Mus musculus: one gene and its partners. The protein of the gene in region 2 interacts with the protein of the main gene of each other region in a biochemical or structural test. Links are inferred from orthologs where the notes say so. Each region holds a gene or a part of one and is shown on either strand. Other genes may lie near its edges.

What was found.
Region 1: the proteins of Lox (region 2) and Eln form a complex in vitro, tested with the Homo sapiens proteins (2 studies listed by BioGRID and IntAct). The link is inferred for Mus musculus from reciprocal best matches to the Homo sapiens genes LOX and ELN.
Region 3: the proteins of Lox (region 2) and Efemp2 form a complex in vitro, tested with the Homo sapiens proteins (2 studies listed by IntAct, with this or other methods). The link is inferred for Mus musculus from reciprocal best matches to the Homo sapiens genes LOX and EFEMP2.

The regions. Positions count from the first base shown.
Region 1 is NC_000071.6:134,706,878-134,714,555, forward strand, and holds part of Eln (elastin precursor), read right to left. Parts: intron 7,178-7,678; coding exon 7,118-7,177; intron 5,814-7,117; coding exon 5,673-5,813; intron 5,589-5,672; coding exon 5,529-5,588; intron 4,344-5,528; coding exon 4,185-4,343; intron 3,269-4,184; coding exon 3,230-3,268; intron 1,197-3,229; coding exon 1,095-1,196; intron 1,007-1,094; coding exon 944-1,006; intron 774-943; coding exon 633-773; intron 1-632. UniProt on the Homo sapiens protein: Major structural protein of tissues such as aorta and nuchal ligament, which must expand rapidly and recover completely.
Region 2 is NC_000084.6:52,517,352-52,525,029, reverse strand, and holds part of Lox (protein-lysine 6-oxidase preproprotein), read left to right. Parts: intron 1-3,691; coding exon 3,692-3,787; intron 3,788-4,120; coding exon 4,121-4,236; intron 4,237-5,796; coding exon 5,797-5,803; 3' UTR 5,804-7,678. UniProt on the Homo sapiens protein: Responsible for the post-translational oxidative deamination of peptidyl lysine residues in precursors to fibrous collagen and elastin. Regulator of Ras expression. May play a role in tumor suppression. Plays a role in the aortic wall architecture.
Region 3 is NC_000085.6:5,470,973-5,479,394, reverse strand, and holds the start of Efemp2 (EGF-containing fibulin-like extracellular matrix protein 2 isoform 1 precursor), read right to left. Parts: upstream 4,706-8,422; 5' UTR 4,621-4,705; exon of another isoform or gene 4,385-4,620; coding exon of another isoform or gene 4,328-4,384; coding exon 4,217-4,327; intron 3,988-4,216; coding exon 3,939-3,987; intron 3,330-3,938; coding exon 3,123-3,329; intron 1,834-3,122; coding exon 1,711-1,833; intron 1,469-1,710; coding exon 1,352-1,468; intron 1,195-1,351; coding exon 1,075-1,194; intron 1-1,074. UniProt on the Homo sapiens protein: Plays a crucial role in elastic fiber formation in tissue, and in the formation of ultrastructural connections between elastic laminae and smooth muscle cells in the aorta, therefore participates in terminal differentiation and maturation of smooth muscle cell (SMC) and in the mechanical properties and wall integrity maintenance of the aorta.

The DNA of each region.
Region 1 (7,678 bases), on a different chromosome or scaffold from region 2:
CCCACTGAGCCACATACCTAGCCCCTCACTGGGGGATTCTAGGCAAGCACTCTCGTACTGATCACGCCCTCAGCCCTTCATTCTAGGAAGCATTCTACCTCTAAGCCATACTCCCAACCCCTCACAGGGGGATTTTAGGCAAGTGCACTACCAGTGGACCTTAAGCTGCTATTATATGTCTAGTCTTGGGGCATACCGCACACAGGGTAGTTTAGGTAGGGAGACACAATGGCAGAGAGAGGAGAGAGAGAAGCACACATCCACCGTGATGGTAGAGACTTTAGGGAAGTAATTCCTCTCCAGAATGAGAAATGGGTCTGACTATAATATGCTAATAAGCCCTCACCTGGTGGGTTGACAGAGAGGAGAAGACAGGTGTTTAGGTACCTCTGTGTCAGCAGGCAGCCTGGTTCCTGCTTGCTTAAGCTCTCTACCCCTTTGCTTTCAGACATGATCTAACATATCCTAGGCTGACCTTGCACTCACTAAGTAGCTCAGGTTAGCCTTCAACTCATGATCCTCCTGCCTTCGCTTCCTGAGTGCTGGATGACAGTCTGTTTGTCTTCATACCGGCTTTGGTACGCCTCTTTCTCCTTCTCACTTACTCCTTAACTCCAAGGCCTGCAGCTTACCTCCACCAGCTCCCAGTCCACCGGCTCCCAGTCCACCAGCTCCCAGTCCACCGGCTCCCAGTCCACCAGCTCCCAGTCCACCGGCTCCCAGTCCACCGGCCCCCAGTCCACCGGCTCCCAATCCTCCGGCTCCACCAAGGCCTGAGTGAGGGGAGACCCATGCATTACACACACTGTCAGAAGACTCTCATTAAGACCCTGTTGGCAAGGGGTCTCTGAGCTCCCAGTCATCTCTGGGATTCCCAATGGCCAGAAAGTGGCTGGGCCCCAGGGGCTTAGGGATTGGCCAGGGAAGCTGAACTCTTGCTTACCATACTGGGCAGCCTTAGCAGCAGCTTTGGCAGCAGCAGCGGCAGCAGCAGGGGGTGCAGCTCCTGGGAACACAGGGACTCAAGGAGGAACTGCATGGGAGTCTCAGGCTCCATTGCCAGCCAACCCATTTTGGGGACAGCAAAAACATACCTGCTACTCTACCGGGAACACCAGCCCCACCAAGTCCTCCAGGTCCACCGAGACCTCCAGGGCCACCGAGACCTCCAGGGCCACCAAGGCCACCTGCTGCTCCTGTGGAGAGAGGACCCTTAAGGGACAGTACCCATATTTTCATTTGTCGTTTGAAGACCAGATCACTTATAGCTCATGTTGGCTTTGGGTTTTCTGCATGGCTGAGGATGGCTTAGAACTCTTGACCCTCCTGCTTTCATCTCCTAAGTACAGGAGTTTATAGGCATATGCTATATATATATATATATGCCTAGAACTTTGTTCTTTTGACTTTTGTTTTTCTGTTTTTTGTTTTTTGTTTTTTTGTTTTTGTTTTTGTTTTTGTTTTTATTTCCCTAAGACAGGGTTTCTCTGTATAGCCCTGGTTGTCCTGGAACTCAGGCTGTAGACTGGGCTAGCTTTGAACTCAGAGATATACCTGCCTCTGCCTTATAAATGCTGGGATTAAAAGTACCACCACCACCCAGCTACTTTTTTTCTTTTTTAAAAGATTTATTTATTTATTTTATGTATATGAATACACTGTAGCTGTCTTCAGACAGGCCAGAAGAGGGCATCGGATCCCATTACAGATGATTGCTGGGAATTGAACTTAGGACCTCTGGAGTCAGAGCTGGACTTTAGAGGAGTCAGTGCTCTGAATCACGGAGCCATCTCTCCAGCCCCTACTTTTTTCTTTTCTTTTCTTTTTGTCCTAGTGAGATGGTCTCACTAAGTTGCTGAGACGGACCTAGAACTCATGACCTATTGATCCCATTTCAGCTTCCTGACTGCTAGGATGACAGGTAGCATCCTACCTTCAGAGTCCTATTTTTCAAAGATGTGTTCATACCCTAGGGACATAAGGCAGAAATGCAACCTAGACCTGTGGGACTCTAGGCAAGTTCTCTACCAGTGAATCGCAAACCCAGCCCCTCACTGGGGAATTCTAGGCAGGGGCTCTACCACTGAGCCACGCCCCCAGCCCTTCATTGGGGGATTCTAGGCAGGGGCTCTACCACTGAGCCATGTCTTCAAGCCCTTTGCTTGGGAATCTCAGGCAGGCACTCATCTTTCTTTGGATTATTCTTTTCTGAGTCAGGCTCTCGCTCTTTAGGCCATGCTACCTTTGAACCTGAGATTCTCCTGCCTCAGCCTTTGAAAAGCTGGCTTCCAGGTGTGGTCTGCCATTCTAGGCAGTCATACCAGTTTTACCGATGAGAAGGTTGAGGTAAGGAAGGGGTTAAACAGAATGCTGTGTTCAAGGTCCTAAGGGCAGGAAAGGCCCCAGTGGCTGCTCTTCCAGGAGAGCCTTAGTGCGTTTCCCTGGTAAAGTCTGTTGACTAGGGCCAAGAGCAGCTGGCACAGAACCTGAGAGGAAGCTGTGGGTGACCAGGGGCTGTGTGTGTGTGTGTGTGTGTGTGTGTGTGTAGCTGAGGAATGGGATTTTCCGAGGTGGAAATTGGCCTCAAGTAGATAAACTGTGGCCAGTTGGCGCATCCCTGGCAGAGGCCCCCCTGCCTGCCTCTTGAGGAGGCCAGGAATGTGGGGGTCACAGACAGTGTGGGTCTGGCTAGAGTGCCAAGTGGCAAGGCACGCGGGTCTGCCACGTCCTCCAGGCTGGAGTGTATTGGGCAAAGTCATGCTGACAGGAAAGGAGGAAGGAGGCCTGGGGATGCCTGCACAAGGAATATCCATAACCCCACAGCTCCTTGGCCAAAGGGCGGAGTGGAGCGGGGGCTGAAGCTGCCCAGTCTTGTAGGACCAACATCAGTGACATTCCCTCTGTTCCACAGAAACTGTCAGGGTCGGAGTGGAGCTTGGAGTTAGGAGTTGTTGTGGGTGAGACAGGGTATATATAATACAGCCCAGGTTGGCTTTGGACTCTCCCTGTAGCCAAGGGTAACCTCCTGGCTCCACTCTCCAGGAGCTGGGATTATAGGTGTGTACCACCATGTCAGGCACAGCAGGCGTGTTTGGCTGCCACACGGGGGTTAATGGGCAAGTGGTAGGACTATGGCTGTCATTCAGATGTCCCTCAGAATGACTGCTCAGCCCTATACTGTCAAGGCTGGTGGGAGTGACAAGGGGACCAGTTGATGTGTAGCACTCACCATATTTAGCAGCTTTGGATGCAGCCAGCGATCCAGGTACTGTGGAAAAAAGGAAAGCGGTCAGCTGCTGAGTTCTGGACCTGGGGTTCTGTAACCTCTTCCAGGAAGCCCATCCTGACTTCTTCTATCTAGATCATATGTTTTAAAGCCCTGAAACTCTATAGCACTCTAGCCAGGGGGCGGGGAGGGGTCACTTGTAGATACAGGGCTCCAGTATTTTACCCTGACATTGTACAACTGGGACTCTTATGCTTGTCCCTTCTTATACCCTCTAGGCCCAGTGTTGCCTTACTGTGACTGGGCCCATAGTGAGGTTCAGCAGTCACATGATGAAGAACTGGGGTTCCTAGTGACATCCTTGTCCTAGTGCATTTTCAGAAAGATAACAGACTGGCCTGGAGAAAGAAACTTCTACCTTCCTTTCTGTGGGTGTTAGGTGGGCTCTTTTAACTGGTCTACAGCCTCGTTATACCTCCCTCTAAAACCTTACATTCTGGAGTTGTTGGGCATCCCCTCCCTCTCGTACTACCCCATTTGCTCTATTTCTGCTTGGTACTGGAAATAGAACCCAGGACCTCACCCATGCTAGGCAGGGACTCTACCCCTGAGCCATATTCCGGCCTCTCACTGGGGGTTTCTAGGTAGGTGCTCTAACCATTGTGCTACAGTACTAGCCCCTGTTGTATCGTGTCTGTCTGTCTATCTTTTAAGATAGAATCTTACAATATTATGCAGGTCAGCCTTGGAGCCTTTCTACAGGGCAGGCTGGTTTTGAACTCATAAGCCTCATGTCTCAGCCTCCTGAGTAGCTGAGATGGCAGGCCTGTACCCATATGTTTTTGCCGGCTCAGGAAAACCTAATGGATGCTGGGTAGAGATAGAGTCCTGGGAGGAGGTGAGTCCTCTTTTTTTGAGCTCAAGTGTATTTTCTACCAAATTCTAGAATTTTCCTTACCTGCTCCAGCTCCAAATCCAGGGACACCAGCACCAGCCCCAAATCCGGGGACACCAGCACCAGCCCCAAATCCGGGGACACCAGCACCAGCCCCAAATCCGGGGACACCAGCACCAGCCCCAAATCCAGGGACACCAGCTCCAAGCCCAGCGGCAGCTCCTGCAGAGAGGAAGGTAGTAGATGGTTCTATATATGTGGAATGTTGCCCCTGGGAGGCGCCCTAACTCAGGAGCTGAGTCAGACCTCCAAGGGAGCAAAGGCCTCCTCCCCAGCTTAGTCCTCATCTGCCGGCTTACACCAGATTCAATACTTTTATTATTGTGTATCTAAATAATTTATTCTTATTTTATGTGTTTTGCCTGCGTGTTTGTGTGAGTATCAGATCTTGAAGGTATAGACAGTTGTGAGTTGCTATGTAGGTGATGGGAATTGAACCCAGGTCCTCTGGAAGAGCAGTCAGTGCTTTTAACCCTTGAGCCATGTTTCCAGCCCCAGTTCTTATTGTTTTTTTGAGACAAGGTCTTCTTGCTAGCCTGGAACTATATATAGACCAGGCTGGCATCAAACTCACAGAGATCTGCCTACCTCTGCCTCCCAAGTGCTAGGATTAGAGGTGTGCACTACCATTCTTAGCTTTTGGAGAAAATCTATTTAATTCCCACCCATGCCAAGGTCTCGGGTACCCAGGCTGGACTTAAACTGAAGGTACTCTTTTTGTTGTTGTTGTTGTTGTTGTTGTTTTGAGACAGGGTTTCTCTGTATAGCCCTGGCTGTCCTGGAACTCACTATGTAGACCAGGCTGGCCTCGAACTCAGAAATCCACCTGCCTCTGCCTCCCAAGTGCTGGGATTAAAGGCATGTGCCACTACACCTGGCTCTGAAGGTACTCTTGAATTGCTGGTCCCGTTGCTTCTATCTCACAAGCTCTGGGATGGGTTTATAGGTATGCACCACCATGCCTGTTTTAGGCAGTGCTGGGGATGGAAGCCAGGGCTTCGTGCATGCTAGGTAAGCCCTCTATCATCTGAAGCGCATCCTCACCCTGAACCTCTTACATTCTCCTAGTGACCTTCTATGTGTAGCCGTGCCATTGACCCCCACACACTTGATACATAAACTAAAAGAAGCCGGAAGCCACTCAGCTATCTTGGGAACCAAGACTGGAAGCCAGGCCTCCCTCTTGCTGGGTCTGTACTTCTGAGCCCTCTGCTAGGTGACATGGGCATCTTAAAGACAGTAGGGATGGATCTGAGAGGCTGTGTCCTGTGGCTGTGTCCTGTGGCTATGTGCCCTGGCCGGGTGGGGGTGGGTGGGGACAGCAGAGAGAAATCAAAGCGCACTTACTGTACTGGGCTTTGGCAGCTGCCTTAGCAGCAGATTTAGCGGCAGCCGGTGACCCTGCTCCTGGAGAGAGAGGAAGAATATTCAAGATGGCACCCGTGAAGATTCCAGGGAACCCTTAGTCTCACTCAATCCACCATAGCTCACCTCCAAGACCGCCAGGACCAGCTCCAATACCAGTAACACCACCAGGGCCAACTCCACCAGGAACCCCACCAACACCAACTCCACCGGGAATCCCACCAACACCAACTCCACCAGGAACCCCACCAACACCAGGACCCAAACCTAAAAGAGAAGGAATAGTTTATCTGTAATCAAGGCCTAAACAAAGAGAACAGGAGCTGTTGCAAAGAGCCTCAGCTGAGTCAGGAGCTGTGGGTTCCCTTCCCAGCCGTAGTAAAGACTTGCTGTGTGATCTTGGGGCCAGATACTTTGCTTTGCTGGGCCTCTTTTTGCTCCTATGTAATAAGAGTCAGATGTAAATCTAGTAGTTTGTAACCTTTTGAGGGATAGGGATACTTTGGAGGCTGGCTTGAGGACGGTGGAGGACAAGCAGGTTTGTTTTTTGTTGTTTGTTTCACTTTTTTCTTTTTTAGTATTAGAGAATAAATGGGAGGCCTTGAACATGCTGGGTAAGTGTTCTACCACTGAGCCACACCCCCGGCCCCTCCCTGGGGGATTTTAGGCAGGAGCTCTACCACAGAGCCACGCCCCCAGCCACTCCCTGGGGGATTCTAGGCAGGTGCTCTACCACTGAGCCACACCCCAGCCCCTCACTGGGGGATTCTAGGCAGGGCCTCTACCACTGAGCCATGCCCCCAGCCCCTCCCTGGGGGATTCTAAGCAGGAGTTCCACTGCTGCTGCTGAAAAGGTCCCATATTTATTATTATTATTATTATTATTATTATTATTATTATTACCTTTATTATTTACTTTGAGACAGGGTCTAACTAAATTTCTCAGCCTGGCCTTGTACTTTCAATACTCTTGCCTTAGCTCCTTGAGTAGCTGGGCCAAGACTCAGCACCCTCAGCCTATGACAGGACCCCAGCTGAGTTCCTAGAAGTGGAGCACCTACCATTAATCATATTCAGGATTAACACATTTAGGAAATGTATACATTCTTGGGGCTATTGAGGGTGACCTTGACATCTATCAAGAAATACAGCCCATCAAGGGGATAAGGCTGGACTCTAGTTTGAAATTCAGAAAAGAACCAGTCCTAGTTGGACTTGGGGAACCAGGAGCTTTCAGAAGTAGGTTGGGGCAGGTCATGGAGGGCTTGGCAGTCCTACACTGCTAGAGAGGAGCAGATAATCTAAAGGTTTGAGAGCAGCTCATACGCAGGGCTGGGGATGTGGCTTAGATAGTAGAGCGCTCACCTGGCACACAGTAAGTCCTGGGTTCTATCCCCTAGTACTGCATAAACAAAGTTCAGCACTACATGCCTGGAATCCCAGCATATGAGGGGTAGAGACAGAAAGAGCAGGAGATCAAGGCCACCCTTAGCTCCTCAGCAGGAGGTGTGAGAAGCCTCTGGTCTGGGGTCAATGGCCAGGTACAGAAGGGTACAACTTAGCATACTGACCTGCTTTGGCGGCTGCTTTAGCGGCGGCGGCAGCAGCTGCAGCTGCAGGGGTACCTGCTCCTATTTGGATAAAGAGATCATAAGATGAGGCAGCCCTGAGCCTATGGGGATTTCAGTCCTGTTTAGGATGCTCTTACATAAAAATTTCCTCGTAGCACTTTTATCCCAAGCTGTCATAGGAAATGACTCCTTCCTCATCCTTTAAAAAAAAAAAAAAAAAGGCGTCCCCGCACACACACGTTTACAAAAGTTTTGTTGGGCATTTAACTAAGAAAGTATTAACTATATAGATCTGTTTTGCGAAATTTGACTTCTCAGAGGTTTCTTCCCATATATGAGTACAGGAATCACACCATTCAGAGAGGTCCTCCTTGTCTTGTTTCTGATCCTACAATGTACTTGAGGCAGCGTCTCTCACTGAGTTCAGAGCTCGCTGTCTCAGCTATCCTAGCTAGGCAGCTTTGTCTGGGGAGTCCCTGTCTCCATCACCCATATCCTAACAGTACAGGCAGGCCACCATGGCCACTGGATTTTATGTGGGTTCTGGGGCTTTCACCTCTG
Region 2 (7,678 bases):
AAGTCAGTTGCTGTTTTCTTTCTTTCCTCTCTTCTTTTTTAAAAAATATTTTGTTTCATTTTAAGGTTACCTTATCAACATGGGATACTTCAGATTGGGAGAAGGGAGATGACTGGGTGGTGCAGATTGCTTTTAAAGTGTTTCCAGCTGTACATGTAACCCCTGCTGGAGATCACAGGAGGGCAATGTGGATCCTTGCTTCATAACACAATGAAAAGTAGTTAAGTTTCTGAATACACATGAGTGACTTACAACATCTGCCTTCATCCTGTGTTCTTCAATCAGCTATAATAACTGTTGGCAATATACGTCTGTTTTCTCACCTGCAAATCCATTTTGTTTTCCATTTTCATGCTTAATATGGAATAGTGCCTAAAGTTAGAACAAAGATTTGAAGGCAGGTTATTAAAAATACTTTAAACAGCATCACTTTTAATAATGCAAGTCAGAGCAGAAAGACACGTTTCTTATTCCACACATGTATATTTAAACCTCCGGTGTAATTAATGTCAGATGTCCTTTGGATAGATTTGTTTTTAATAGTGCTGAGTTGAGCGCTATTGTATGTCTTAGAATTGGAAAATGTGGGTCAGTTAAAAACTATGTCAGTATTTCCATCCACAACCCTAATTTGTAAAAGGACATTATAATTTTACTCCAGCCCTGCTCTTGGCAAGTAGTTCCTGAATATACATTACCCAGGGCACACAGACCTCAGCGGCTGTCATCTTGGGAAGCAGATTCCAGTACTGTGGCCAGAAGCTTTTTGGTGACCTACATGTGGTGACCATTCTTCTTTCCTCTGGGCTTAGCTCATCAAAGTGGTTAGACGGGGAAACAGTTATATTTAACATACGTTGGGAGGGGCAGGACATATGCTTTAAGTGAAAAATCTAACACACCCATATATTAAGCATATACCCTTGCAGAGATTGCCTTCGCATTCAGTGATCACCCCAAGAGGACCTGGAGCATGCATTTCCCTATTCTTAAAATGACACATGTTAATCATCTCTAAGCTAGAACACTTGCATTGGGGGAGGGGAAGGGTGTATACTTCAGCCACAGAGGCAGAGGCACCCCTATTCACTTGTGTAATCTCACTTTTTTAAAAAAATGTGGTAGCCTTCTTGTTTATCCTTTCCTGTGCATGCCTTAAAAATTCTTCACTAGGTCTTGCATTGTAAGTGATTTACGTATTTGTGTTTTTTAATAGTCCTTTGAACAGACTTCATTTATAGAAAAAACATTCACATAGGCCCCTAATATTGACTTTTATTAGTTTTGTTATACTAGTGCCGTCTTCCTTAAATGTATATAAGCATCTAACTAGGTATAACTTATGAATATATTGTATATCTAACCACGTGTTTTAAGATCATAAATTTACATACAGAATATATGCACAATTTAAAAATAGTTACATCACACTCAATGACCAAATGTTGCAGACAAGTATTTTTTATTGAAACCAAAGAACACATTTAGATAATCTTCAATGAAGTTCTATTTTCAATTTATTTTCACAATGGACTTCAAATACATGAAAAGTCTATTTGCTTAATGGCCTTGGCAGCTTCAGGCATTTGCTTGTTAGTTCAAATAAGCAAAGCTCAAAATTCACATTTTCTGCCAGCTGGTGAATCATAAAGTAATAGTGTCAGCTAGAAGTTTGTGTATGTGTGCCCACGCACACACAGGCTCGTGCATATGCGCTCACACACACACACACACACACACACTCGTCATCTAGCATTTGGGACAATAGGTATAGGCCAACAACAGCGTTTTGCAAACACTTTAATTGCCAGTGGTATTACTTATACCTGTCTGCAATGGTTATCTAATCCAGTGCACAATTTAGAGTCCTATGTGAGATAGCAGTAATGATTGTGACACCAGCAGGTACTACTTACTTACCGAGTGCCTAAGGTGACACAATCAGAGAAGGATGTGGTAGAACCTTAAAGTTCTTTCCTTTGTATTTCCTGTTCAACACATAAAATGAGAGCTGGTCAAGCTGGAAATCTAGGCGATTATGGCTCTTGCTCCTGTGGTTAAGTAATGTTGGGTTGGCCTGTCTATGTTGTCCTGTGCTATGGACAGCAGCATCTCTTACTCTTCCCAAATCCAGCTGCAGCCAAACCCACATCAGTAAAGCACATCGAGATTTTTGTTTTTGTTATCTTTGTTGACCAAGATGACCTTAAGCATCAAAGCAAACTCAAGAGACAGTTTTAAATGACACTGCTAAGTTCGAACGATTGTCACATACGCTTCTTTTTTTTTTCCATTTTTTATTAGGTATTTAGCTCATTTACATTTCCAATGCTAAACCAAAAGTCCCCCATACCCACCCACCCCCACTCCCCTACCCACCCACTCCCCCTTTTTGGCCCTGGTGTTCCCCTGTACTGGGGCATATAAAGTTTGCAAGTCCAATGGGCCTCTCTTTCCAGTGATGGCCGACTAGGCCATCTTTTGATACATATGCAGCTAGAGTCAAGAGCTCCGGGGTACTGGTTAGTTCATAATGTTGTTCCACCTATAGGGTTGCAGATCCCTTTAGCTCCTTGGGTTCTTTCTCTAGCTCCTCCATTGGGAGCCCTGTGATCCATCCATTAGCTGACTGTGAGCATCCACTTCTGTGTTTGCTAGGCCCCGGCATAGTCTCACAAGATATAGCTACATCTGGGTCCTTTCGATAAAATCTTGCTAGGGTATGCAATACGCTTCTTAATCAATTTTGGATTATCAGAATGGAAATGCTACAGTTAAAAGTTCTCATGTGGAAATAAGAAAATGCCCATGCCCCAACCGAAGGAAATTTCTGCAGACTCTTGATAGCAAGAAGCATATGTATGTTCTTGGCATTTTTCTCCTGGCAGCCTTGTGAGACACCCATTGACTTGCTGGTGGAAATGTCTTAGCAAGTGGACGGATATGGCTTTGACCAGTTTGGGCAAAAATCCGTCCTTCTGACTCCACAAAGATCTCACTGATTATTTGAGAGAGGGAATGTGATAGTTAAGAAAAGGTATTCTGGACCTTGTTTATATAATCCTGAAACAAGCTCAGTCACTGCTCAGCTTTTACCCCTGAATCAGTCATTTGGTCTTAGCATGCCTTGGGTTTCTCAACCATAAAATGGAGACAGAAACACACCTGAGTTCTGGAGTTGTGAGAACTGACTATATATGGTTTTGGTTAAATAATAAATGTTAGCTATTCAAGAATGCAATTAGACTGTACCTATCCTTAAGGGGTTTATATAATATGATTTTAATATAAAGCAGAAGAGAATAGATGCTACAAAGCTACACAAGACAAAATATCGTTGTCATCCAGAACATAGGAAGGTCACTGCAGGGAATCTCGCTAATAGGACACTGCAAATGAATTACTGTGAGACATTTCTTCCTGATATGTTTGCTACTTTTGAATGGTGCTGGAGGCCTAATTTGTTGCTTAGGACTATTTCTACTGGTGACTTTAGAAGTAGGGCACATTTCTTCATGTTGCAAACTTGCAGCTGTTGAATAACTAGATATTATAAGATGGGCTAAAGTGTGTTCTGGTTTTTGTGTCCAATTCTTGTGGGTACTAACTCAAGGTTTCATTGATAGATAATATCATATAATCAGTCTGGTCACATCCTATAGTTTAATTTTGAAGTGTTTTCTGATTTCAGGGATTGAGTCCTGGATGTTATGACACCTATGCGGCAGACATAGACTGCCAGTGGATTGATATTACAGATGTACAACCTGGAAACTACATTCTAAAGGTAGGGGCTTTGAAGATGTGTAATTTACCACCACTCTCTTTTTCTGGATTCAAATATTAAATAACCATCTGTTTGAAAGTACTTAGACAACTTTCAGAACAATTGTTAAGCAATCTACGTTATGATTTTTTAAAGAACTTGGGGAGATCTACACAACTTCCTTTTGTAATATCTCCAGTATGTTTAACTACCTTCTTCACCTAAACTCCTTTTCTTGCTTGATGTAGATGAGTCCCTTGTTAGTAATTTCACTGTAGCATTATAGAAATAGGAGGGAAGAACAGTATCCATTAAGTATAAAATCTTTCACACGGTGCTATTTTTCTTGTTCAGGTCAGTGTAAACCCCAGCTACCTGGTGCCTGAATCAGACTACACTAACAATGTTGTACGCTGTGACATTCGCTACACAGGACATCATGCCTATGCCTCAGGCTGCACAATTTCACCGTGAGTATTATTTGGCAAGCCAAATGATATTCTTTTCTTCCTTCGTTTCTTTCTTTCTTTCCTTCTTTCTTTTTCTTTCTTTCTTTCTTTCTTTCTTTCTTTCTTTCTTTCTTTCTTTCTTTCTTCCTTCCTTCCTTCCTTCCTTCCTTCCTTCCTTCCTTCCTTTCTTTCTTTCTTTCTTTCTTTCTTTCTTTCTTTCTTTCTTTCTTTCTTTCCTCCTTTCTTTCTTACAAGGAGGTTCGTACTTGATTTTTAACAAGCAGTATTGATCAGATGGAAATATAACGTTAAGCAAAGTTAATTATTCTTAATAAAATAAATATCCTACTTAATCTATGAGTGAGAAATAAGAAATGCTCAGAAGAGGAAAAGCCCTTACCTGGAGGGCAATCATACTTGCCTCTTACTCTGACTTTCACCTCCAAGTTCCATAGAAAGTGTTCCTTAGAACACGACTGGAGAGTGCCTTTAGGACAGCATGTGAGTTTAGCCTTGAGGGCTCTCAAGTACAAAAAGTACAAAAGCAGAGTTGACAAGGAGCTTGCATTGTAGGGGTCAGATTCGTGGGCAACTGCAGGGCAGGAGTGAGTTGCAGGCAGTGTTTGCAAAGGCTGCTTCCAGTTGGGTTTGTCAGCTGTGCTCTGATCAACAGAACAACTGAAAAGCAAACTAAGAATTTTGAGTTTCTCTCCAAAGACCATGAAAAATCTGACATTTTTTTTTTTTGAGCAGGAGTGTAGTGCATCTGAAGCTATGTGAACAGTCTGATGGCCACCTGTGTGTGACCTCATGCTGTCATTACAGGCCCCCCCTCCCCACCTCTAATGACATGTCACTGTTAGTTTAGTACCGATTGTTTTGCATGCCAGTTAGATACTTGAAACCATTCTGGTGTGATGTAAAATCTACCCAATAATTTGGTGTGTTCCATTCCTGGAGTCTCTGCCCTCAGTCTTCCCAGATGTGTCAGGCCTTTTCCACCTCTGCAAAGCTTTCTCCTCACAGACCTTTCTAGTTAATGATTTGCACCCAAATGGATTCTTCCTTGCATGATGACCAATATTTCAACATAAAGATACCTACTTCTGTCTCTGTTCCTATCTCTGCCCATTAATGTGTCATTCTGGGCCCAAAAAACCATGGAGACAGAGAAGGGAAAATGCAAGATGGTGCAGAGGCCATGACTGTGCCTCCTGGCAGATGTATCACTCTTGTTCCGTAGAATGAGCTTGCCGGCTTGGTTGCTGGATCCCTGAGTCCTGCTTGACTTTTTCTCGTTTCAATTTTATTTTTATTTATTTACTTACTTATTTGGTTGTTTTGCCTTTTAAACATTCAGGCTGTGGACATCAGGCAATGTTCTTCATATTATTGTCATATTCCTTCCCTCTGATCACTGTGAGATCATGTTCTAATAGTAATTTTACAAGGTGATAGTTGCTAGGGCAGAGAGACATTGCTCCATCAAGTTTTGAAAAGGCTGACTAAAATGTTATTTGTTGTGCGCACTCATGATATTATCCTGCTGATAACCTGTCCCATTGTGTTTTCTCAACCTAGGTATTAGAAAGAAGCCCAGTTCCCAGTGGATAAAGCCGTACCTGGTGTTTGGACATATGGAAACTATAGATTAGCTTAAGTAGGAAGGACTTACATATTTTAAAAGACAAACAGTAAACAACAAAGGAGGTTTTGTTTGGACTCTTTCGCAACAAATGACATAACTGGATTTTGAGTGTTTAAACCAACAATATTTGGCAAATTTTAAATCCTTACTCATGTTATTTTGTGAATTAGCAGTGTTTCAATTCTGTGGGTGCATAGTGGGCTCTTTCAAAGAACTCTGAATTTCTTATGTTCTTTTGAAATTATAGTGCAAATGAGAAATTGATATTTTAATGAGTGAGCCACAATTTGAACGGATTCTTTTCTAAAGTGCTGAAACCAGTGAAACAATGATGATGAGCCTATATTTGCCTCGACTTAGATTGATTTTTTAAAAAGGTGTCCCTATTGTGTAAACAGAAATGGATACACTTGGTGCTGAGGAAGGGCCAAACATCTAACTATTGTTGTCATGAAGTATAATCAGAAAGATGGCGATATATGTATTCAGATAGTTACATCCCTATATAAAATTATGTTTACATTTTAGAGTTACTAGACAATTTCCTTTCTCTTAATTGCTTAATTTCACTCTGACTTGAGTCAACTTGTTTTGGAATGAATTGGAAAATTCCAAGATCCTGTTTGATACTTGTTGCTATTCGATCCCACGCTGCTTAGCTTTTCTGTGGGCAGAAATGTCTAATGTGACAATCAGCACATCCCCATTGTGAGGTTTCACGGCATAGGGAAATCATTCCGATGACCAACAGCTGTGATCAGTGGAGAGCTAACATGCCCTGCAGCATATTTTACTGTTAGCCAGAATTAAGTCACTGCTGACACAGCAATTATACAAGGAATCTCTAACATCACAATCATCTTTCAAATACTGTCAAAAGAAAATACTGGAAAACCTTTTAGATTTTTTTTTCAACTCTACTACACTTCTGAAATGTTCAGCTATTAAGGAGAATGTTGAATTTATATATATATAAAACCATCCGTAATAGATGACCTACTGTGTGCAATGCAGCACCATCATCTTAGACTCTTCAGGAGTTGGGTATATACGTTTTTGTGTATTTACAAAATACAACCCAAATTAGCGAAGCACATAGCATTGTATACTTGAGAGGTTGGCGAACAAGAGGGAAGCAGAGCCTTCCTGCAAAAACCAAGGAGCACGCACCACAACGAGACCGCTGTGACCTTACGTAAAACTGTGAAACTGTGTGTAGCAGTGGGATTTGGAGACTCTTACATTCAGAAGGTGCAGAAAGAAATCAAGTTAGACTTTTAAATTCCTGGTGCTTGTGCCGAAGTCGTACTTCATTTACCAGCGTTAAAATCTCAAGTAAGGCATCTCCTCCTGTGGTAGAACGTGTCAGGTAGAGCTTTCTAAGTGAGCTGGGATCCTGACTCACGTGTCATAGACTTGTAAGAGCAGCAGTCTCTAATCATCTCGCTGTAGACTCATTGCTGCAGAGCAAGTGGGAGGGGCCAGAGATGGGCAGTCGCCAGGGGTGGATAGCGCGGTACACATAATTCTCATCTGCCTGAAAGCACACTTACCCATAAGCAAATGCAGGCAGAACTCTGATTGAGCTGGTTTCTGATCCACAGGATTGCTTCTTCGATGTACCTCTTTGCCCTAGCTAGCATTTCAGTTTTGATACTGTAGAACGATCCTTTCAAATTATAATCATTCTGATAGAGGTATTTTAATATACATGCTTTTAAAAACAAAACAAAAAACTACTGTCAGTATGAATACTGAGCCAGACTGGCATATATAGATTTAACATCTTGTCCTACTAAGATTCTTAACTGTATA
Region 3 (8,422 bases), on a different chromosome or scaffold from region 2:
TAAGACTTAACAAAGCATTCGCCTAACATAGTGGCCTGTGCCTTTGATTCTAGCACTACCCAACAGATCTCTGTAGACTAGCCTGGTCTACACAGAGAGCTTTATAACAGCCGGGGTTACATAGACTCTGTCTTAAAAAGCAGCAAGAATCTAGAGGCTTGGGCCTAAGTCCTACTAACCCATTTTAGAAAGGGTCCACATTGTGCCAGTCAAATGAGCAGGTGCCCCAAGGGGATAGCCGCTCTGTTCTTTTCAAGTCTTGCAATATGCGGTCAGAATGCCCAGACTTGGGCTAAGTGTGTGCCCCCCACCCTACCCCGAGCAGCATCCTATCTCTTTGCTTTTGTTCCTTTCACACAGCCGAACACCAATGATCCTGTGCTTCCCGGTAAAGCATAAAGTAAATGAGGGCATGCCAGGTAACACAGTGAGACGCCTGGGCTCACACCCCAGCCCGGCTCATCTTTCCCCTCTGAACTTGGACAGTCATGTCAATCTCAGTAAGTGGAAAGATGAAAGTCAGTACTTTCTCTGACCTCTCTGCTTGCTTTCCACAGTTCTGCCAACCTGGAGGAATATTAATGTCCTGTTTTACAAAAGTCAATCATCCCTGGCCAGACTAAATGAGACTGAAAATTTTAAGTGATAAACAAATGGTGCTTCCCACTATTTCTGCCTGAGACTTGATGAAGCCTGTTATCACTGCCCCTAATACTCAAATAACCTGTCTGCAGTAGACATGTGCCCAGAAAGAAGAGAAAACTTTCCCCAGTGTAGGATTCCAATGCAAGTCAACTCAACTTTCAGGAAGACTGGCACCTCCATCTTCTCTGTCTCTCTGGCAAGCTTCAGAAGCCCCTAGCATAGCATCCCCTCAAGCTGGGAGTGCCAAACGACAAGCTCAAGACGGAGCTTAGGGAGGCCTGTGAGTGCAAGGAGACGTGCGGAAGCCCCAAGCAAATGACCATGCGCCTGGAGTTGCTCCAATATGTTGCAAGTGCTAAGGGAGGCGGCAGAGGGGGGGGAGGCGGGGGGGGGGGGGATGCTGTATCCAGTAGCACAAGTGACTCTCACCGCTGCAGGAGAAGCCATCCCGGTGCAGCTCATAGCCCTGGTTACAGCGACACAGGAAGGTCCCATAGGAGTTGAAGCAGCGCTGCTCACATGGGGCTCCCATGTCACACTCATTCACATCTGAGGGTGCGAGGACAAACAGGAGGGTGAGAGCAGTGTCACGCCCAGACCCCCCCAAACACACACACACACTCAACTTGGGCTCAAGAAGAAGATCCTGCCCCCACGTCACACATCTCCACCCAGGATCCCAGAACCTTGTCTGGCACAGCCTCACCCACACAAGAGCGGTTGTTAGGTCCCAACTGGAAGCCTGGCTCACACTGGCATCGAAAAGAGCCCGGCAGGTTCACACATCGATGCTGGCAATAGCGGTAACGACACTCATCTATGTCTGAGATGGAGGTGGGGGAGGGAAAGTAGAACACAGGCCAGGTGGGGCCTGAGTTGGCTCACCTCGGCAACCACCCCTGCCCGCCCTCGTCAGCGAGCTGGGCTGAGTCACCCACATTTAATCTTCCGTGTCTAGTGACAGGAGTGCACTAGTAGCAGAGGACTGGGGTGAGGTAAGGCATCAGACCAGGAGCCAGACCAAGGTCACAGAACAAGAACCTAGCAGAGCCACTCAGAACTCACCCACACATTCGGGTCCAATTTTTCGGTAACCATCAGGGCAGGTGCACTGGTAGGAGCCAGGAAGGTTATGGCAGTCCTGACTAGGGCGACAGTCATGCAAAGCCTGGGTACACTCGTCCACATCTGTGAGAGACAGCATTCAGCCTTCGCCTGGAGGCCCCCATATGCTCCTGACCACGTGAGGGATCTCAATTCGGGAGGAGGCGGACTGCCCTAGACTCCATTCACATGGGCACGTGGGTGGTTGGCACTAAATCATGGATGTGTAATTCAGATCATCCCAATAGTACAAAAAAAAAAAAAAAAAAAGAGTCCACCAAGGAGTCACTAGGAGAAGTACCCACTAGGAGAGCATATTAAAATAAGGCCTTGTGGGGTCTGGTGGCACACACCTTTAACTCCACCACTGGGGGAGGACGTGGGGGGCAGAGGCAAGAGGATCTCTGTGGGTTCCAAGCTAGTTGTAGCTAGAGCTACAGAATGAGACACTGTCTTAAAAATAAATAAATACACAAACAAACAAAACCTTGTCCATTTACACCCCTCAGCTGACTCTAGGGCCAGGATCTTTCCTCCTCCAAGGCCAATGGTTCCCAAGGCTGACTCCAGATCAAAAAGCTGCCAGAGGCTGCGAGCAGAGCTCCTGTGTCTGTACAGGAAATGAGGGGCTGCCAGGGCCTTCCTGGGCCTGCAGACCATGCTAAGCCTGCAGTAGATGACGACTTGGATCTGTCTCTGAGGAGCCAGGGGGAAGAGGAGCATGAGGCCTGGGGATTTTATAGGGAACATTACTTTTACTAATTAATTAATTAATTAGCTCCCTTTTTGAGATAAGAGCTCACCCAGCTCAGGTCGTCCTCAGTCAAAGCCCTTACGGTTGAGGGTGCCCTTTACCTTCAGGTCTTCCTGCTCACATCTCCCCACTGGTGGGACTACAAGTGTCTGCTACCACACAGACCACAACTAGCTTGGAACCCACAGAGATCCTCTTGTTTTTGTGATGGTGGGGATCAAATCCAGAAACTGTCTCAAAATCGCCCCCAAAAGAAAACAAAAAAATAAATAAAAAACAAAAACAACAACAACAAAAACTAGGGAGGACCAAAAAGTGCTACTAGAAGATGAAAACAAACAAGAATGACATGTGCCAGGAGATGATACCATGATGGAACGCATTACTTTGTACAGTAAATACAAAATTAGTTTAAAAATTAAAAAAAAAAAAAGTCAGGAATGGTAACACACGCCTATAATCCCAGCACTCGGGAGGCAGAGGCAGGCAGATTTCTGAGTTCGAGGCCAGCCTGGTCTATGAGTTCCAGGACAGCCAGGGCTCCACAGAGAAACCCTGTCTCGGGGAAAAAACTCATAAACCGCGTGGAAGCCCAGACACCCGATCAGCCCTTGCTTACCCACACAGCTCTCCTGTTCATCAGGCTCGTAGCCCTGCGGGCAAGGGTTTGGTTGTTGAGCATGGGCCGCTGGCGGTGGAGGTCCTTCACCATGGAGATCACTGATGACGGCAGCAGAGCGAGGCAGACACAAATAACCCCCGTAGTGGTTGATGCATTTCATCTCACCCTTGCAAGCCTCCGGGATGGTCAGGCACTCGTTGACATCTGCAGAGAGGGGCCTGCTGGGCACAGCCAGTCACCTGGGCTGGCCCTGGAGGTAGTGGGAGGCAGATGCCCAACTTGGCCTTCTCTAAGCTGAGCAACAGAGCAAGACTTTCTCTCTGCTAGGCAAACTAAGGCTGCTGACCCAGAAGCCCTGCCAGGGATTGGCAGGACTGGGAGTGGGGCCCCCTGTTTCACACTGGTATCTCCATTCTCCTGCCTCCTCAAATCCCTGCCTCTACCTTTGCCCAAGAGAAATTTTGCGGGCCTGCCGACCCACGGGGCATGCACGGCTCTCCCAGGCTGCATTGGGATAAAGAGCTGGGCTAGGCAGGTACAGTGCAGTCCAGGGAAGGTGTGCGTATTTCCTTCTCTCTGGGCAATAGCCAGGTGCTCCCTTCCCTCCTGCAGGATAGAGGCCGTTTGTCCAGCTTCTTGAAGGGGCAGGGCTCCTAACTGAGTGGCACAAGGGAAGCATGGCTGGCTACCAAGCTGGACAGGGAAAAGGGCCATCAAGTTCCTGCAGCAGCTCTGGGAGGTAAGGTATCCCTGGGAAACAACAACCCCCTTCCCAGTTCCTGAAGATGGCTAGTACCCCAGACAGAGACTCACCCCGGCAGTGCTGGCTGTCTGCATCCCACTCATAGCCATCTGTGCATTCCTGGAAGGGAACCCGATGTGGCCAGTGACCACCCTGGCTGTCTCCACCAACTAGCCAGGCCAAGACCAGGGCCAGAGTTCAGAGTCATGCTCGGGTCAGCTCCACACAATGGCCTCCAGCTTTCCACCAACCAAGCCGGGGAGAATCTTGCCCAGAAGCAGCCTCCCCAGGATCCTGATCTCACTGTCCTTCCCATCCCATCCCAAGCTGGTGACCCCACGGTCCCCACCGTGTAGCTGTCCGGCTCCTCGGGATCCTGTGGGGACGCTGCTCCCAAGAGCAACAGCAGAAACGCCCAGAGCAGCAAAGACCCGGGGAGGCAGGAGGCAAAAGGGAGCATCCTGAGGCTGGGAGGTGGTGGGCAGAAGTCAGGGGTTTCTGCCACAGCACCCCCCATTCCCTCTATCTGGAAGGGGAGCCTGGGTCCCAGCTGTCTCGTCTCAGGACTGTGCTGAGGCTGGAACCTTCCAGGGCTGGGGACAGAATCCTTTCGCAGGCCTATGGCCCAGGCCCGCAATCCCGGACCGCCCCGCCCCCGCCCCGCGAGTCGTGAAGCGCAGGCCTCCCCGCTCCGCGCAGCACCGACTCGGCCGCCAAACGGCCCGCGCCCTCCCTCCGCTGGAGGCCACTCACGCGTCGACTCCAGCAGTGCCTGCGGGCGGGCGGACGGACGGACGGACCGCGCAGCTCACTGGACGCGCGGCCCCAGGAAGCGCCCCCCGCCCGCCCGCCGGCCGCGGCCCACCCCGGCGCCTCCGCCCGCCCTTCGGCGGATTCCTGAGCCCGCGCCAGGGGGAGGGACCCCGACCCCCCGGCTTCTCCGCCCCGGCCGGCCACAGGCCCCCACCCGGTCCCCCGCGGCGCTGCCTGGAGTCGCCTGCGGACGCCCAGCCAGAGTTTCCCAAAGTTTGGATCCTTAGGCCACTGACCTTGATGCTTGGCCCCCAAACTCACCTAAGGACCCCGGGCCTTCACTCAAAATGTTATTCTGCCCACCTAGACCCTATCTAACCTGTGCCTCCGGAATCCCATGCTGTGCATTCGCACCTCCGTGTAACCCGATTCTGCGCCTCCCAGAACCTACTAGGCATTTAATCCTCAGAGCTTCAAATTCTACTCCTTTCAGAATTTTATCCAGTGTTAAACCATCATCACTTAGATGATCCTAAAACTTCATCCAAGGTTTCCAGACCCTCGTCCAACTTAATTAATTGTCCAAATTAATTGTCCAATTCCCTCTGCATCCACATCCACGGCCTCCAGGTGGTCTCTTTACTTGGGGTACTGCTTCCCCAAGCCGTGCCAGCGCAAAACTACAGTAGTATGGGGGAGAGGGCAGCAGTATTCTTGGCTCGAAATGAATGGAAGCCCCTGGGAAGGCGGGCAAGCTTGAACTTGGGCGCGGAGGACACTAGGGCCCAGTGCCAGCCCTTTCCCGAGCCTCTTCCCATCCAAGTCCCCCACCCAGTTTCCGCCTCCGCCCCCAGCGGAGATCATGCCTTGGAGGCGGAGTCTGGGTGCCTCCAGCGCCCAGGAAGGGGTGAATGGGCGGGACTTCGCGTTGCCCACGTCTCAAGGCGGGCCTAGACGGGAAAGGGTTGCGTGTCCAGGGTTCCCGTGCCTGGCCCAGACCGCTAGCGGCAATAACCAGGTCTTCCTTAACTTTCCCTTACCCAACCTCTTTCCATCTTGTTTGTTTGTTTGTTTTTGTTTTGTCATTTTGAGACAGGGTCTCACATTGTGTAACTCTGACTGTTCTGGAACTCACTAAGTAGATGAGGCCTCGAACTCACAAAGATCCGCCTGTTTCTGCCTCCTAGGCTCTGGGATGAAAGGTGTACACTACCATGCTCCGCTCTGCCTTGACGTTTAAAAAAAAAAATCTGCTTCATTTCATTTAACTGTCTGAGTGGTAATGTATGTGGTATATTCGTGTGTACCTATTCACCTTATGTTTTAAGACAGGGTTTGTCGCTGGAAATTACTAATTTAGCTAGATTGCGTGGCCAGAGTGCCAGAGTGGTCTGCCAGTCTTCACCTCCCTGGCCCTCTAAGGGTTACAAACCTGCATCACCACTATAGCTGGCCTTTATGCTAGGGCTGGAAATCTGAACCCAGACCCTCATGCTGTGTAGCAAGCGGTTTACCCAATAAGACATTTCCTCAGCTTCCATTGCCTTGATTAGAAAAAAGAAAAAAAAATTAACGGGCTGGAGAGGTGGCTCAGCAATTAAGAGCAATGACTGCTCTTCCAGAGGTCCTGAGTTCAATTTCCAGTAACCACATGGTGACTCACAACCATCTGTAATGGGGATTGGATGCCCTCTTCTGGTATGTCTGAAGACAGCAACAATGTACTCACATACATGAAATAAATTAATAAATCTTTAAAAAAAAAAAAAGAAAAAATAAAAAAATTAACTTTTAATGATGCATATACATGTGTATCTGTGTGTTGGTATATACACCCGAGTGCAGGTGTCCACAGAGGCCAGCAGTGTCCCCTGGACCTGGAATTACAGGAAGTTGTTAACTGCCCGATGTGGGAACCAATCTCAGGTCATCCGGAAGAGGAATACTGGAGCCATTTCTCCAGCACTGACTTTTTTAAGCAATAGAGGGTGAGGGGTGTAGCTCAGTAGCATCCTGCTTGCTTAGCATTACCAAGATCCAAAGTTCAATCCCAGGAACTAACTCCTGACACACTAGAGTGTGTGTGTGTGTGTGTATGTACATGAGTGTGTGTGTATGGATGTGAATGTATGTACGTGAGTGTAAGTGTATGAGTGTGTTAATGTGTGTGTGAATGTCTGTGTATGTGAGTGTATGAGTATATGTGAATGTATGTGTGTGAGTGTAGAGTGTTCATGTGTGTGAATGTCTGTGTATGTGAGTGTATGTTATGAGTATATGTGAATATATGAGTGTGAATGTGAGTGTAAAGTGTGCGTGTGAGCTGGGCGTGGTGGCGCACGCCTTTAATCCCAGCACTTGGGAGGCAGAGGCAGGCGGATTTCTGAGTTCAAGGCCAGCCTGGTCTACAGAGTGAGTTCCAGGACAACCAGGGCTACACATACAGAGAAACCCTGTCTTGAAAAACCAAAAGAAAAAAAAAAAGAGTGTGCATGTGAGTGTGTGAATATGTGTTGGAATTCTGAGGTAGAACAAAGCCCACAGAGAGAAGTGTGAGGAAGAGATGGTCCTGAGCAAATGTGTACTGTTGATATTAACATAGTCATGTGAAGGGCCCCAATCACTCAGACCCGTGGGGATGGCAGGGCCTTCTCCAGGTCAGGCTCAGGCGGGGCCATCCATGAGGACAGATGCTGACAGTATGTGTATTTTGAAAGCCCAGATGACTGTAGCCTGAAACTGCTCCCCTGCAGAGATCCCCTAAGGATTAGCTTCAGCTCATATAATGAATCAGCTGAGTTTCCAGGCTGCTGCTGTCTCCCTCAGAACACATGGCCCGTTCCCCGGGTTTTCTTTATGCCTGTCTGTTGTTTCTTCATTCCCCATTGCCAATCAGGCCAATCTCAAAGCTTAATGGGGGGGCGGGGGGCAGAAGAAAAAGAGAGAGAGAGAGAGAGAGAGAGAGAGAGAGAGAGAGAGAGAGAGAGAGAGAGAGAAAGGAAAGGAAGAGAAGATAAATATAAGGAAAAATACCTGGCTTAGTGGCACATAGGAACGAGGTGGATCTCTGAGTTTGAGACCAGCTTAGTCTCCATAGGGAATTCCAGGACTGGCTATATTGAGAGACCCTGTCTCAAATATACATATAATCCTTTCGGGGTTTTGTTTGTTTTGGGGGGGGACTTTTGTTTTGTTTTGTTTTTTGTTTTTGTCTTGGTGTTTCAGGCAAAGTCTCTTTACATAGCCCTGGCTGTCCTAGAACTCACTATGTAGATCACACTATTCTCCAACTTAGAGATCCGTGGGTCTCCGCTTCCTGAGTGCTAAGATTAAAGGTGTGCACCGCCACACTGGCTTACATATATATTTTCTTAAAAGGTAAATTGCAGCTGGGCAGTGGTAGCATACAACTTTTATCTCAGCTTGAGAGAGGCAGAGGCAGGTAGATCTCTGTGAATTTGAGGCCAGCCTGGTTTACATAGTGAGTTTCAGGGCAGCCAGAGCTACACGGTAAGACCTTGTCTTGAAAACAAAAAGACAAAACAAACAATAAACAAACAAAAGAACCAAAAGGGCAAGTTGCATAGTAAGTGACTTACATCTCAGTTAATCTGTTTGTTGTTCTTGTTTGAAACAGGGGCTCTTTTTTTTTTTTTTTTTGATTTTTGAGACAGGGTTTCTCTGTGTAGCCCTGGCTGTCCTGGAACTCACTCTGTAGACCAGGCTGGCCTCGAACTCAGAAATCTGCCTGCCTCTGCCTCCCAAGTGCTGGGATTAAAGGCATGCGCCACCACTGCCCGAC